Elephas maximus indicus: one gene and its partner. The protein of the gene in region 1 purifies or fractionates together with the protein of each later gene. This does not show direct contact. Links are inferred from orthologs where the notes say so. Each region holds a gene or a part of one and is shown on either strand. Other genes may lie near its edges.

What was found. Proteins that work in one complex are often made in the same cells at the same time.
Region 2: the proteins of CDK19 (region 1) and MED9 purify together in Homo sapiens (affinity purification with mass spectrometry; 7 studies listed by BioGRID and IntAct, counting the BioPlex papers as one, with this or other methods). This does not show direct contact. The link is inferred for Elephas maximus indicus from reciprocal best matches to the Homo sapiens genes CDK19 and MED9.

The regions. Positions count from the first base shown.
Region 1 is NC_064819.1:176,759,087-176,766,944, reverse strand, and holds the start of CDK19 (cyclin-dependent kinase 19), read left to right. Parts: upstream 1-4,816; 5' UTR 4,817-5,124; coding exon 5,125-5,252; intron 5,253-7,858.
Region 2 is NC_064820.1:214,930,996-214,938,183, forward strand, and holds the start of MED9 (mediator of RNA polymerase II transcription subunit 9), read right to left. Parts: upstream 3,038-7,188; 5' UTR 2,956-3,037; coding exon 2,729-2,955; intron 2,719-2,728; exon of another isoform or gene 2,714-2,718; coding exon of another isoform or gene 2,565-2,713; intron 1-2,564.

The sequences.
Region 1 (7,858 bases):
TCAGATTCCCTAACTTTGACCAGAATCTGTTTCCCCAATTGCCTTCAAATTTAGACCATCCTTATTAAAAGGGGGAACCCTGGTGGCATAGTGGTTAAAAGCTACATCTGCTAACCAAAAGGCTGGCAGTTTGAATCTACCAGGTACTCCTTGGAAACTCTGTGGGGCAGTTGTACTCTGTCCTATTGGGTCACTGTGAGTTGGATTCGACTTGATGGCAACAGGTTTGGTTTTTTGGTTTTATTAAAAGCTTTGTTCTCAGACTTTTAGAGAAGTTTAGAAGAAGTTTTACAGAACAAACTAGCTTCTCATTAAACAGTTAGTACACATACTGTTTCATGACATTGGTTAACAATTCCATGACATGTCAACACTTTCCCCTCCCTACCTTTGGTTCCGTGTTACCAGCTTTCCTGTTCCCTCCTGCCTTCTAGTCCCTGTCCCAGGGCTGGTGTGCCCCTTTAGTTTTGTTTTGTTTTATGGGCCTGTCTAATCTTTGGCTGAAGGGTGAGCCTCCGAAGTGACTTCATTACTGAGCTAAGAGGGTGTCCAGGGACCACACTTTTGGGGTTTCTCCAGTCTCTGTCAGGCCAGTAAGTCTGGTCTTTTTTCGTTGAGTTAGAATTTTGTTCTACATTTTTCTCCAGCTCTGTCTGAGACCCTCTATTGTGAGTCCTGTCAGAATAGTCAGTAGTGGTAGCCAGGCACCATCTAGTTGTACTGGACTCACTCTGGTGCAGGCCATGGTAGTTGTGGTCCCCTTGTCCTTTAGACTAATCTTTCCCTTGTATCTTTAGTTTTCTTCATTCGCCCTTGCTCCTGAAGGGGTGAGACCAGTGGAGTATCTTAGATGGCCGCTTACAGGCTTCTAAGACCTCAGATGCTGTTCATCAAAGTAGAATGTAGAACATTTTCTCTGTAAACTTTGTTATGCCAATTGAGCTAGATATTCCCCTGAGACCATGGTTCCCAGAGCCCTCAGCTCAGTTAATTCAGTCCCTCAGGGAGTTTGAATGTGTCTATGGTGCTTCCATGACCTTGCTTTGGACAAGTTAAGCTGGCTTCCCCAGTATTGTGTACTGTCTTACCCATCACCAAACAGACAATAGATAAGTGGTAACTCTGGTGAAGGGTAAGACAGTACACAGTACTGGGGAAGTCAGTACAACATGTACAAGGCAAGGTCATGGAAGCTCCACAGACTCTTTCAAACTCCCTGAGGGACCGAATTACTGGACTGAGGGCTGTTTTCAGACTTTTAATCAATGTTTACTTAAATAGTGGAGAGATCTCCCCCAGAACAGTAACAGATATTTGCATGGCAGCTAATGCTGTGAAATCTAATTGGCCAGGTAAATGTTGTGGTTGATGGAAAGAGCAAGGGCAAGAAAAAAAACCAGTTGCCCTTGAGTCAACTCCAAGTCATGGTGACCTCATGTGTGCCAGAGTAGAACTGTGCTCCATGGGGTTTTCAATGGCTGAGTTTTTGGAAGTAGACTGTCAGGCCTTTTTTTCTGAGATGCCTTTGGGTGGACTTGAACCTCCAACCTTTCAGTTAGTAGCCTAGCGTGTTAACTATTTGCACCACCCAGGGACTCCAAAGGCAAGGAAGACTTCTTATACTTATTGAGGCAATGAATTTTTCAATGGAGATGGCAACTGCAGATTCTCTATTTTGTAAGCTCTGTGAGTCATGTATGGCATTAAGAAGGGGGAAATAATGAGCAATATCAACCAAATATGAAAGGAAAAAAAAGCAGAAGTTGTAATTTTAACATCTACAAAGTAAAGACAAAGATGATGCATGCTTCACTGGAATTATTTGATCTTGATAAATGGCTCAAGGTCTGGCAAACTGCTTCTGTAAGATTACAGGCAAGAAAATCCTATGCGAAAGCTTTACTCTGTCACATGGGATAGCACTATGAGTTGGAATCTACTTGATGGCACCCAACAACAACAATGTGATAATTTCTTTATTAGTCTCAACTCCCTTCAATCTATCCTGAGAGCTGTTGTCAGAAAAATCTTTTTTTTTTTTTAACATTTAATTCTTTTTAATGACCAGTTTTCACAGTATGTTGTTAGTATGCTAGCTATCTCCAGTGATGAACAATTTGTTTTGGATTTTTTTTTAATAGTTTATTTTTTGTTGAAAATATATATAGCAATTCAACATTACATACAATTCAAAATACATACACTGATTCAACAATTTCTACATGTACAATTCAGTGACATTGATTACATTCTCCAAGTTGTGCAGCCATTCTCACCCTCCTTTTCCAAATTGTTCTTCACTATTAACATAAACTCACTGCTCCCTAAGCTTCCTGTCTTAGCTGAGTTCTCTAGAGAAGCAAAATTAGTAAAGTGTAGAAATAGATAGATGATAGATAGATAGATAGATAGATAGATAGATAGATAGATAGATAGATAGATAGATAGATAGATAGATAGATGATAGATAGATAGATAGATTTATATCAAGGAAATGGCTCACTCAGTTGTTGGGGCTGGAATGTCCCAAGTCCATGGGTCAGGTTTCTCTGGATGCACATAGCCACAGGGGCTGGCAATCCCTAGACCGGTAGATAAGAGAGCAGGGCTCCTGTTCACAGCCTGTGAAGATGGATGAATCCCAAAGATCAGCAGGCAAGACCACAGGTAAGCTGCTAGTTCAAGTCCCAAGAGCCGAAGCCCAGATGGACAGGAGCGAGCTGCAAGATCCAGAGCAAGCAAAAGCCCACAAGCCTTGCCACTTATATTCCATGCAGGCCACATGCCCAAGGAAATTGCCTTTCAACTGATTGGCTACTCACAGCAGGTTCCATCATGGAGGTGATCACATCATACCAAATCTCATCATGGAAGTGATCACACCACCATATGAGTAGCAAATCGCTGAGGCTCATGGCTCAGCCAAGCTGACACACAACCTTAACCACGACACTTTCTGTCTAACCTTTCCACTTGTTGTCAGTTTGATCTCCTATAGTTTTTTTAAAAAAGAGTACTATGCTCAAAGCAGACATTCTTTACTAATTAAGCAAAATTACCATTTGGTTTAATTAAAAAAGACTTCAGAAGGATCTTTTGAATACATCAGACCAATTAAATCACTCTATCTCAAATGTCTTCGGTGACTCCCTACTGTCTACAATATGATGAAATCTAATACTTCTTGACATACCTAGCTTCATAATTTGATCTCTGCTTATCCGTCCAAAAGGCAAACCAAACCTGTTGCCATCTAGTCCATCCTGACTCATAGTTATCTGTCCAGCTCCTTCTTACCCATCTCCTTTCCCTGCCTTGATGTATAATATTCAAACTACTTGCATTTCTCAGAGTATATCAACCTCTCTTGATATATGTACATGCTGTTCTATCTGCCTGAAATAACTCCTTGCTCCCTACTGCCCCACCTGTCTTCTAGGCAAAGTCCTACTTATCCTTTAAATTTTGGCTCCAGCCCACTTTCGGAAAGCCTACCTCTAGAGTTATGAGCTCCTCATATTCTACCATTGGTCTTTGTACCTACACAGTTTACTGTTAATTTGCTTACATGTTTATTGCTACAATAGGTTTTAGTACCCCGAAGGAAAAAAACACAAGTTTTTCACCTAGTATCTCCAGCAGTTATCATAGTGGTTTGCAATAAGAGAAACTCAGTTACTTTATTGAACATGCCTTCAAGATCTGAGGAAGCTTCCCAGGCGGGATTGTTGGAGTAAACAAGCAATTCTCTCCTCCCGCCCCCCTTTCAGTTTTCCAGGCTTCTTCCAATACCTAGCAAGCAGAAGTCACTATAACTTTCCCTACTTCAGGCAAAATCGATCATTCCCTCCTTCGTGCTCCCACCGAATGTAGTACATAAATCCTATCCTAGCATCAATCACATTTAAGTTTGTATTTCGAGTATCTGAGACTTTACGAACACAATAATGAAATGAATCAATGTTCATAATATGCATAGACCATATATATATAAAGCCCTTTTCAATCCAACCAAAACGATTGTTTTTAAAACGCTGGATCTTCTAGGCATTCCGATTGTTCTTAGATGGTCAAAGCTTGGCTACCAAAGTTAGGGCGGAAGACCTACTACAGCACCACGAAAAGGATGGGGCTGAGAAGTTATAGGTTCTCTTCAACCAATGCAAGAACTAAGAAACTGCTGACGGTTCAGCGTTTGAAATAATGTATTTGCATCGTAAAGAAAAAAGATTAACCTATCAGGAAGAACTGAGCACAACCAATCAAAAGCGGGAAGGAAGCCAAAGACTGGGGATACCCACGCACCAACTAGGACGTCATTCTCTAAACTCCGCCAATGAGGGCCAGATGAGGGGGGGGGGGGCAACTGGAGGACAAATTGCCAAGGAAAATAAACAACAATCTGCAGTAGAACTGTTCTATTACAACAGTCCTCGCCTCGCAAACCCCTGGAGTAAACTTCTGGGCAAAGCACTTGTTAAGTACTTTCCATATTCCTTCTCGCCTGGAAAATCAGACTGGAATTCCTCCTTCCTACTAGAACAAGGGCCTTTTTCCACTAGCTCCCACAGGCTTGCAGAAAGCACACTGCAACTTGGCGCTTTTTACCTTCACTGGGAGTCCAGCGCTACCTGAGGGGGAGGGGCGGCCCCAGTGCGCCGGCGTGCATGCCTTGCGGAGGCGCGGCTCTGGGCCCAAGGCAACGTGGGAGTTACAGTTCTTACGGTGGCAATCCTTTAGCCAATCCTGAGGCCTTCAGGACTACATTTCCCAGGAGCCTCCGCGACCTTGGGGCGGACGGGCTGGTTCGTTAATGAGCTGTAGGAAGCCGCGGCGCGGCCCACCAGGTTCCAAAACAAGGAAATGAAGGGGGGAGGCGGGACTGAGGGTGCCTGCGGGAGCCGTCGCCGCTGCCGCCGCAGAGGAGGAGGAGGTGGAGGTGGTGGTTGCCGCGGCCGCCGAGGAGTCCCTTGCTGAAAGCGGATCGCGGAGCGGCTGGCGGCGCGCGCGCGCCCGAGAGGCGGCTGTTGTAGAGAAGTGGAGCGGCGGCCGCGGGGGGAGGAGGAGGAGGGACTGAGCGGCGGCGGCCCCCACGTCCCGGTGCCTCTATGGGGGAAGCAGACAATGGATTATGATTTCAAGGCGAAGCTGGCGGCGGAGCGGGAGCGGGTGGAGGATTTGTTTGAGTACGAAGGGTGCAAAGTGGGACGCGGCACCTACGGGCACGTCTACAAGGCGAGGCGAAAAGATGGGTAAGAGCAGGGGCGGGGGGAGTAGGGTCGCTCGGGTCCTCGCCCTGTCCGCGAACGGGCGGGATGGGTGGGTCGGAGCCCTATCGGACCGTTTCCAAGGGGCGCGGCGGAGGTGGTAGAGGGGCCATGTCCCGGGTTTGACTCTGAGAGACGCCCCCCTGCCCCTGCGGCTCCGTCGCGCCCCTCGAGCTCCCGCGGCGCAGCCCGGTCGGGGGCCGTCGGTCCCATGCCGAAGGGCGCTCTCCGCGTACATGGAGCAGGCGGCGACACGAGTTTGGACCTCGGCTAGAGGTGGAGTTGGTGGGGTCTGGTCTCTTGGGAAGACGCGGAGGAGTTGCCGCTCCGGCCCTGGGCTGGTGACGGCGGTTGTTGAACTTCCAATCCGCTGAGTCCCTCCCGGGGGCGGCGGTTTGAAACCTCGCCGCGGAGCCAGTCGCGCGGCTTAGCGCCTTGGTCCCCGGCAGTCTCCCGGGTCTGACCCAGTGTGCACGGCAGTCCCAGCTACGACCTCCGCCCCTGGGACCTGCTAGCCGGAACTGGCCCTTCAGCTCGGTCCCTCGCGTCCCTGTCGTGTTTTGGACCCCTCCTCACCCGTCTCCGCCCCGCCCCGCGCCCCGATTTCACACCCTCACTCTGAGTTCCGCTCGAATGTGGGACGACATCCTGAGAGAGTAACCGCGTTTTGCCCGCGAGAACTTCAGAGTTCTGCCAGGTTCTCTGGCACCTCTTTTTCCCTCACCTTAGGTATTCTTCTGTCCATCACTTCGTTCTCTGCCAAGTGACTACGTGCTGGGGTTTACTGGGCATCTAGATTATCAAAAACGGAGTACAGAGTGACACAGAGCTGGGCCTGAACCTTTGTTTTCCTGGGAGTTGAGGGAGAACCGTAGGACATCTTCGGGAATCTCCTACCTCATTAGAAGTCGAACTGGACGATATTACGAGTAGTTGAGCTCGAACTGCAGGACAGGTGGAACCAGCTCTCTGTGATGGGTGGCCAGTTATTACCGCATGTCCCATCGTTGTAGGAATTCCCCTCCCCCAGGGTTAGGGCGTCCAGAAAGATCTGCCTGCCATGCTTAAACTGCATAAAGACTGTCAACGTGTAAAGAACAGAGCTTTAGGGTCGTATTGAACATTTCCGAATAAACTGAGTATCAGCCACACTGACATTAGTAAGATTTGAAGGGCCACTTTCTGTGCACGCTGTTGCAATTTGATATGGTAGGTTTCTGAACTCTAGGACCAAAGTAGGTAGGTTGTGTGTGTGAATGTGTGCGTGTGTGTGTGCGCGCGCGCGCTTGCCCACTAGTTTCATAAAGGGAAAAACAAAACACAATTACTGTAAAGTTTTGGAGACATTTGCCCCTAGTTTTTTCCCCCCAATCTAGAGTTGGGTGTCAAGAATTATGATTCTCTGTACAAAAAATTTCAGAAATATTTTCTGTGAAAATATGTTGAAAATTACAAATTTCAGGATTATTATTATTGTTATTATTTTTTCTTTCTTATGGCTAAACAGGCCGGATAGTACTCAGTTGTTTGTGAACTTTTGTCATAATTCTTATAATTGCCAGGTGTTCTTGAATGAGTATCATGGGATGTGAGGTACTATAATTAACTTTTGTTTTTGAAATATGTACTTTACTTGTAATACTGGTGTTCCTGTGGGAGTGTTATCAAATATATTTGGGGAAGGCACATCAAGTTTTCCTGTTTAGACATTGGCATTACAAAATAAAAGTGGCTCTTTTCACACTCCTCGTGGTAACTTTGTAGTACACTTGACCTAGAATTTTTAAATGTATTAAAAAAATTTTTTTTGATTAAAATAACTTCCTTTTAGCAGACAATTTCTGAGAAAAGTTAAGAATTTTCTTCTGAATTGTATTTGAGTAGCATGGGCTTACAACAACAACAAACAGCAGATAATATAATTCCTATTTCCATTCTTTTTGAATATTTCCCCCCTCTAATAAAGTTGTTGATTCAAATACATATCCTTCTTGAGTGAAATTTATTTGATTAGAAGTAATAAAGCTGCGTTAGTAGAGGAAGATGGTTTCATCACATCAGATTGGTTTGTGTACCTTCAGCATAATATGCCTTTTTTTTTGGTGAACTTTTGGCCCATGAAAGCATTTACTTAAATCACTATATAACATGTAAGAAAAACCATAATAAAGGTTTTTTTTCTTGGACCAAGAGTCTAGTGAGATTCGAAGCTTTACAGCAAAACACATCTCTTGTGGGTTGTTAGTGGGATTAATTTATGTGCGTTGATACCAGTGATTTGAAAGAACGAAAAGTTTGTAGTGATTGTTCTAAACTGTGATGCAGATTTGTACAGTAAAAAATTTTGCACTCTGATCGTGGTAAATTACAATTTAGATGTTTCCATTTTTATTTTGGTTAACATAGGAAGATGTGTAATGCTGTTTTAGGGAGCAAGAGAGAACTCACATGATAGGTTAAAGAGAAATTATCCTGGTATATGTAGTATAGTACATAACTCAAAAATTATTTGGGTCTTTAGAAACACTGAAACAAGTAACAAAATATTAGAAAAATCTCTATAGTTTAATACTATGGCTTACAAAACTTTA
Region 2 (7,188 bases), on another chromosome or scaffold:
TAACACTAGTCTTCTACCCGATGGAAGAACCGTAGTCACCTGTTGCTTTGAGTTCCCTGTCAGAGGACTGTGGGGATCCGTTTCTTAAAGAGACTTTTAAGTGATCCTCCTGTTATTAGTCCCACTTTCACCCTTATTTCCAGAGGTTCCTGATACTGCTGATTCCTGGAATCTCGGGAGAGGCCACGGTGAAAGATCAAGGGTTTCATCTTACTCGGATCTACAGTCAATGCCCACGGAAGCAGCAGTCAAGAAATCAAATGACATATTGCACTGGACAAATCTGCTGCAAAAAACCTCTTTTAGGTGTTGAAAAGCAAAGATATCACTTTAAGGACTGGGTGCACCTGAGCCAAGCCATGGTATTTTCAATTGCCTCATATGCATGTAAAAGCTGGACAATGACTAAGGTAGACTGAGGAAGAATTGATTCCTCTGAATCATGGTGTTGGTGAGGAATACTGAATATACCATGGACTTCCAGAAGAATGAAAAAATCTGTCTTGGAAGAAGTATAGCCAGAGTGCTCCTCAGAAGCGAGGATGGTTGAGACTTCATCTCGCGTACTTTGGACATGTTATCAGGAGGGACCACTCCTTGGAGAAGGACATCATGCTTGGTAATGCTGAGCGTCACTGAAAAAGAGGAAGAACCTCAACGAGATGGATTGACACAGTGGCTGCAATGATGGGCTCAAGCATACGAAGGATTGTGAGGATGGTGCTGGACCAGGTAATGTTTTGTTCTGTTGTGCACAGGGTAACTATGAGTCGGAACTGACTTGACAGCACCTAAAAACAACAGCACGGTCAAAGGTGGACTGCTCTCAGGGCTGGTAGGTGAGTCAGCCCTTGACCGCCTGCCCTGTGGCAATCATCTCCTCTCCTGTTCTTTTTAGTTTTATACATTAAAAAAAAAAGAAAGAAAGAAAAACCCCTTCACTGTCCTTTTAGAGGAAACAGAGATGAATGCATGAGATTAACCCGCCGTCTTTCCCAGGGGGGAAAGTACACTTGAGTATACTGCACAACAATTCAGCAATTTCACAGGAGAAAAAGAGGCTCAGAGAAGTTAAGTTACTGGTGCAAGGTCATCCAGCTAGCATATTATAGAGCTATAATCTGAACCCCTAGTTTGAGGTCCATTATTATTATCCACATATTGAGATGAGAGAATTAAGGCCTAACACACCTGAATCCGGCACCGCCTGACTTCAAAGCCTATGTTCTCTCTAGTATAATTTACTGCCCCATCCTTAAAGCCAGCAGAACCCCACTGCTCTATCAGGGCTCAGGAACATACTCTCAGAGGTCTAAGAACCGTCTCTGCGAATGTGTATATTTTGGGTTTTCATTTTCCCAGATTTTTTAAAAACTAGCGTAAGTATATCTGGGTTAACCTGGCCAACCCCTTCATAATCCAGTACTGCCCCAGGAGTGTGGGGTGTGCACTTGCATTTGTCTTTGCAAACTCACTGTTGCCAAGAACAGAGTCTGCTTCACTTTTGTTTATGCAACGCGAAGCCAGACGAAGTCAGGGTCTAATGTGAGAACAAAGGTTTTGCAATAGTTTGAAGAGAAAAATGGTGGAAACATCATGTATCCCACAGCAAGTGAATTTAGGCTGGCTACTCAAAAGAATCTGGGCCATTAATGGTCCGTATGTTCATGTGGGAGCCCTGGTTGTGCAGAGGTTAAGGGCTCAGCTGCAAGCCAAAAGGTCAGCGGTTTGAATCCACCAGCCACTCCCTGAAAACCCTATGGAGCAATTCTACTCTGCCCTATAGGGTTGCTATGAGTTGGAATCAACTCCAAAGCAATGGGTTTGGTTTTTTTTATTTGTTTGTTTCTTTTATCCTCATGTAGCAATTCCATTTCAGCAAAACATCAAACAGCGTACTAATGTGCATTTGAATTGTGCTAGAATAGTAATTTCGTTTTAACCTACTTTGTGCATTTGTATTGGTTTAATGGCTAAATAAATTATAAGCATAAGGGGTTTCCACCTAGTATCCTGTGGATAGATATTCAAGTAACAAGAATAAAAATAACTTAGGTAAAAATGGGGATCAGGGAGACCTTTGGTTTTTTTTTCTTTTACAGGGGTCAGTTTGAAAACTCTAGCTAACTTGAATCCTGGCCAAAAGGATGACAACCACCCCCTATGGTACTATGTTAGAAGGAAATTAGTGCCACAGGATCTAATCTGGTGGGGAACTTGTTTCTTTTAATCATCAGCCCTTCCTTATCATCTTAAATTATGTGTCTTTCCCATTCCTTCTAACTGGCACACTCCACAGCACTTAGCCGTGTGTCATACAGGAAGGAGGGCCAAAACCTGTTGGCTGAATAGAAAAAAGGAGCCAAAGTGAGAATTACCCCCATATAACAGATGAGAAAACTGAGGGTCAGAGAGGCTGAACTTGCTCAAGATGGCTGCGATGCAAACTTTTTTTTTTTACTCCAGAGTCTGTGAATTTAGTCTCTGAGCTGACTTCATTCTTATTAATATCGGCTGGCCATCATGAGGCCTGGTAACTCTTAGGGATCAAGGCATTTGCTGACCTCATGGAAAGGCTCTGCGAGGTCCTGGGAAAAGCCTCTTTCCCCTCCGGTTCCGAAGCCCCATATGTAAAATGGGGGCAGCCTCTAAGCCTCTTCCAGCTCTGACAGGGGTGTGACGCGAAGCAGGGGGGAGTGTCGTGGATGGTCATCTTCTAGGGCCTTACCATTTGATGATGTTGTGAACCAGAGGTAAAAAGGAGTAATTCTCCTCCTCTTTCACGCCCGCAGGTGACTGCGGCCTCGGCGCGGGCGACTGCTGCGGCTGAGGCGCAGCGACCGGCGTTGGCGGCTGAGAAGGCGGCAGCGGCTTCGTCTCTGGAAGCTGCGGCTCGGCCGGCGGCGGCAACACATCCTCCGCCTGACGCCCGGGGGCCACACCAGCGGAGGCCATGAAGTTCAGGGGTCTGTCAGTCAATCAGCAGGACCCTGGGGGGATCAACACGCCGAAAGCGTCACGGATTTCATACGTCACCGCTGCGCGCCGGCAGGAAGGGTCTACGCATGCGCACAGGCGTATGGGTGCCGGGCAAAGGGGCTGGGCAGTGCTTGGCGACTGTTGCTGGGCAACAGGCTGTTGGCGGGCCTGGGTGGCCTGAACTTGGCTGTGAGTCAACATGGCTAAATTATTAAACACTCGGAAATAGGAGACTTATTTCAAAAAATAACCCAGTCTTTCTTATTCCTATTCATCTGACGAAGAGAGCCCAAACGCAACCAACACGGAAACCTTGCGATAAATAAGGCTCAGCGTGGCCCAAACTCAACCCATTGCCCTTGAGTTGATTCCAACTCATAGTGATCCTATAGGGCAGAGTAGAACAGCCCCATATGGGATTTTCAAGGAGCAGCTGCTGGATTCGAACTGCCAACCTTTGATTAGCAGCCACAGCTCTTAACCACTGCGCCACCAGGGCTCCCACCATCCGCCATTCCTCTGGAAGGTCTCCTGAAGAAAAAAAAGTTGAACTATGGGAAGACTGAAAAAAAAAAAAAAAAAAAGAAACCAAACCCACTGTGGTGGAGTCGATTCAGACTCTTAGCGACCCTACAGGACAGAGTAGAACTGCCTCATAGGGTTTCCTAGGCTGTAACCTTTAGAATTGTTTTTTGTTTCTTTCACTTTTACAGAAGCAGATAGCCCCGTCTTTCTCCTGCAGATTGTCTGGATGGGTTCCAGCCACCAACCTTTAATTTAGCAGCTGAACACTTAAACGTTCTACCACCAGGGCTCCTTCAGAAGGGATTAACCACCCCTCCCCCCGAAAAAACAAAAAAAAAATAACAAAGCTAAACCTGTTGCCATGGAGTAGATTCCAACTCACAGCGATCCCATATGTTACAGTGTGAAACTGCTCCACAGGGTTTCTTGGCTGTAGTTTTTATGGAAGCAGATCACCAGGCCTTCCTTCTGCAGGGCTGCTAGGTGGGTTCAAACTGCCAACCTTTAGGATAGTAATTGAGCATAAATCTGTTTGCACCACCCAAGGACCTAGATGGGGATTCATGCCACAAATAATAATACATTGAAGAATTTCAAATACTCTCTGTCATGGATTGAATTGTGTCCCCCCAAAAATATGTGTCAACTTGGTTAGGCCATGATTCCCAGTATTGTGTGGTTGTCCTCCATTTTGTGATTGTAATTAATTTATATTGAGAGGATTAGGGTGGGATTTTTTAGCACCACCCTTACTCAGGTCACCTCCCTGATCCAAGGTAGAGTTTCCCTGGGGTGTGGCCTGCATCACCTTTTCTCTCTCAAGAGAGTAAAGGAAAGGGAAGCAAGCAGAGAGTTGGGGACCTCATACCACCAAGAAAGCAGCACCAGAAGCAGGGTGTGTCCTTTGGACACAGGGTCCCTGTGCCTAAGATGCTCCTCAACCAGGGGAAGATTGAGGATAAGGATCTTCCTCCAGAGCCAACAGAGAGAAAGCCTTCCCCTGGAGCTGACACCCTGAATTTGGACTTGTAACCTACTAGACTGTGAGAAATTAAATTTCTATTTATTAAAGCCATCACTTGTGGTATTTCTTTTATAGCAGTACTAGATAACTAAGACACTCTTCATACTTCTGGGCCAGTTCCTTAAGCTCCCTAGGTCCCAGTTTCCTTACCTCCGAAGCCTAGACTGCTTTCTAAGTTTAAATATGTGGCTGACCCCTGAAGGTAGGTCTCATTTGCATGAGGACCCCCTGGGACCCAAGGAATCAGGGAGACTTCTGGTGGTTTGTGGTTATGTTCCTCAAATAGGTACGACCAGGGGACTGTACAATAAATGTCTAGGCTGGGCAGCCAGTGGAAGAAGAAAGGCATGGGCTAGGAAAGCCTTCATTTGGCATCATTCCTCAGTCTACCATCATGGGCAGTAAGGAGTCCACCTTCAGGCAGCCAGATGAGCAGTAACTGATATTTCGGAAGCATGGGGAGCAGGCAGATCCTTGGGCAGCAAGATTGCAGAGTGGAAACTGGGTGTTGTTGGGGGTGCTGGAGAGGAAAGGGAGGGGGAGAGGCCTGCAGGGACCTCCTCACCTAAGGGAAGAGTTCAAGAGTTCTTGTGGAGAATAGAGGAGAAAGGACTATTGGGATAAGACCAGATGTGCTGGAAGAGAGGGTATACATTTGGAGTCACCTGGGGGAAATAATGATGGAATAATGGTAATAATAATAATAATAACCATAGCTACCATGGAATAAAAGAAGGTACAAGAAACAGAATTACAATATTATCTCATTTAATCCACAAAGGAGTTTTAGAAGGTAGATGTTTGCATTCCCATTTTATAGATGAGGAAACTGAGTCTTACAACGGTTAAGACCCTGGTCCCGGGGTCACACACACAACTTTCCTGGCACCAAGCCTGTGCATAAGAGACCTCAGGTCCCTTCCAATTCTGAAACTTTATGATTCAAAATGTTAAAGTTAAGTTCTTATTCAGAATTCAAAAAGCAATCTGCTATTCATCAATAATATCCCCATGGTGACTGCATGTCATCTTCCTCTCCTGGTGTGTTTTATAACTTCATCATGAATCTTTGTCATTGCCGGAATAATCTTTTTTTAAAAAAACACTTCAAGTATAAATAGATATGGCTAAAGAAAACAATTTGAAAATGTATTAAGCATGAACAAGTATGGCACATTGACAATTTGTCCTAAAAATAGTTAATATAATTAGGGGCAAAGAGTAAAGCTGACTTCACAAGGATGCAAGTGGATGTCACAAAAATACTGCCTGTGCTGGTTTCATTAAAGCTTCAATTGCGGCAACAAACATGTGTCTGTTTATAACCGCCTTGTGAAGAGTCAGAAAAAGGCAGCTGCTTCATTGATACCTAAGGAGTATATGTTGTTATGAACGTCACAGAGTTAAGCTATATGTGGATCACTTTCCGAAGCAGCTTCTTAAAGGGCTTTGTCTGGTCAGGTGGAGGTTGTGAGTTCAGGCTTCAGAACCAACCTGCTGGCTTTCCATCCCAGCTCCGCTTCTGAAGTTGGACGGCTTTGGACAATTGTTTCCTGATTCAACCTCATAGAAGGATTGAGTGAGGTTATACAGGTAAAGCATGTAGAGAAGTATCTTCACTCAGCAAACATTAATTCTTATTATTCAGATGTAGGGTTTCCTCCCTCACCAATTAAAAAAAATCAACTGGTGGCAGTTAAGAAGAATAGTCTAGAATGATCTAGATCAGCACTCTAATAGAAATGTCATTTTCAATTTTCTCTTAGCCACATTAAAAAAAAAGAAATGGGTGAATTTAATGTTAATACATTTTACTTAACCCACAATCAAAATATTATTATTTCAACATGTAATCTATATTAAAAATTGCGAACAAGGTATTTTATTGTCTACATGTAAATGTTTTGTCTAAAATAGTCCATTTTCTCCTATGTATTTCACTATAATATCAGTATAATAATAAGAGAAATCCTATAGAACAGTGGCCAAACAACATAAAGAAACATGTCTTTAGGTAGAAGGAAAATGATTCTAGGTAGAAATTTGAGTCTATACAGTGGAATGAAGAACTCTGAAAATAGTCAATATGTGCATAAGTATGAAATATATTTTTCTCCTTTTTAAAATAATATTTTATTGTTGTAAAGATGGCATGAGGTGGCATCTGATCTCCTCTAACTTCATAAGGGTGAAGGAGAATCAAGATCAACAGCCCAAGGCTGGTTCTTCTGAGGCAGAGGTCAGACTTGCCTCCTCTTTCTGCCATCTTTACCAATTCTGACACCAACTGTCCCTCCCACAACACTCTACTTCTCTGCTAGTTTCGATAGTTCATTACAGTGGCTACACAGAACTCAAGGACAATACTCACAATTATGAGGTTTATTACGGGTTACAATTCAGGTTCAGGAACTCTCAGAATACAGTTCTTCCATCAGGACAACCTCTTCTCAGCTGTGCCCACAGGCAGGCCTCTCTCTGGCTCCTGCTCGGGCAAGTGTTACCAAGCTCTTTTAGTTCTGCTGCTAAGTGCCCAGAGGCATCCCACTCCATCAGTAAACCTCAGCCCAAAGGTGCTCAGCTCTAGCTCTGTGGATGGGCAAACTTAGCTCTATCAAGTGCCTGGAAGCACCCTACTCCACCAGCAAACCTCCTGCCTG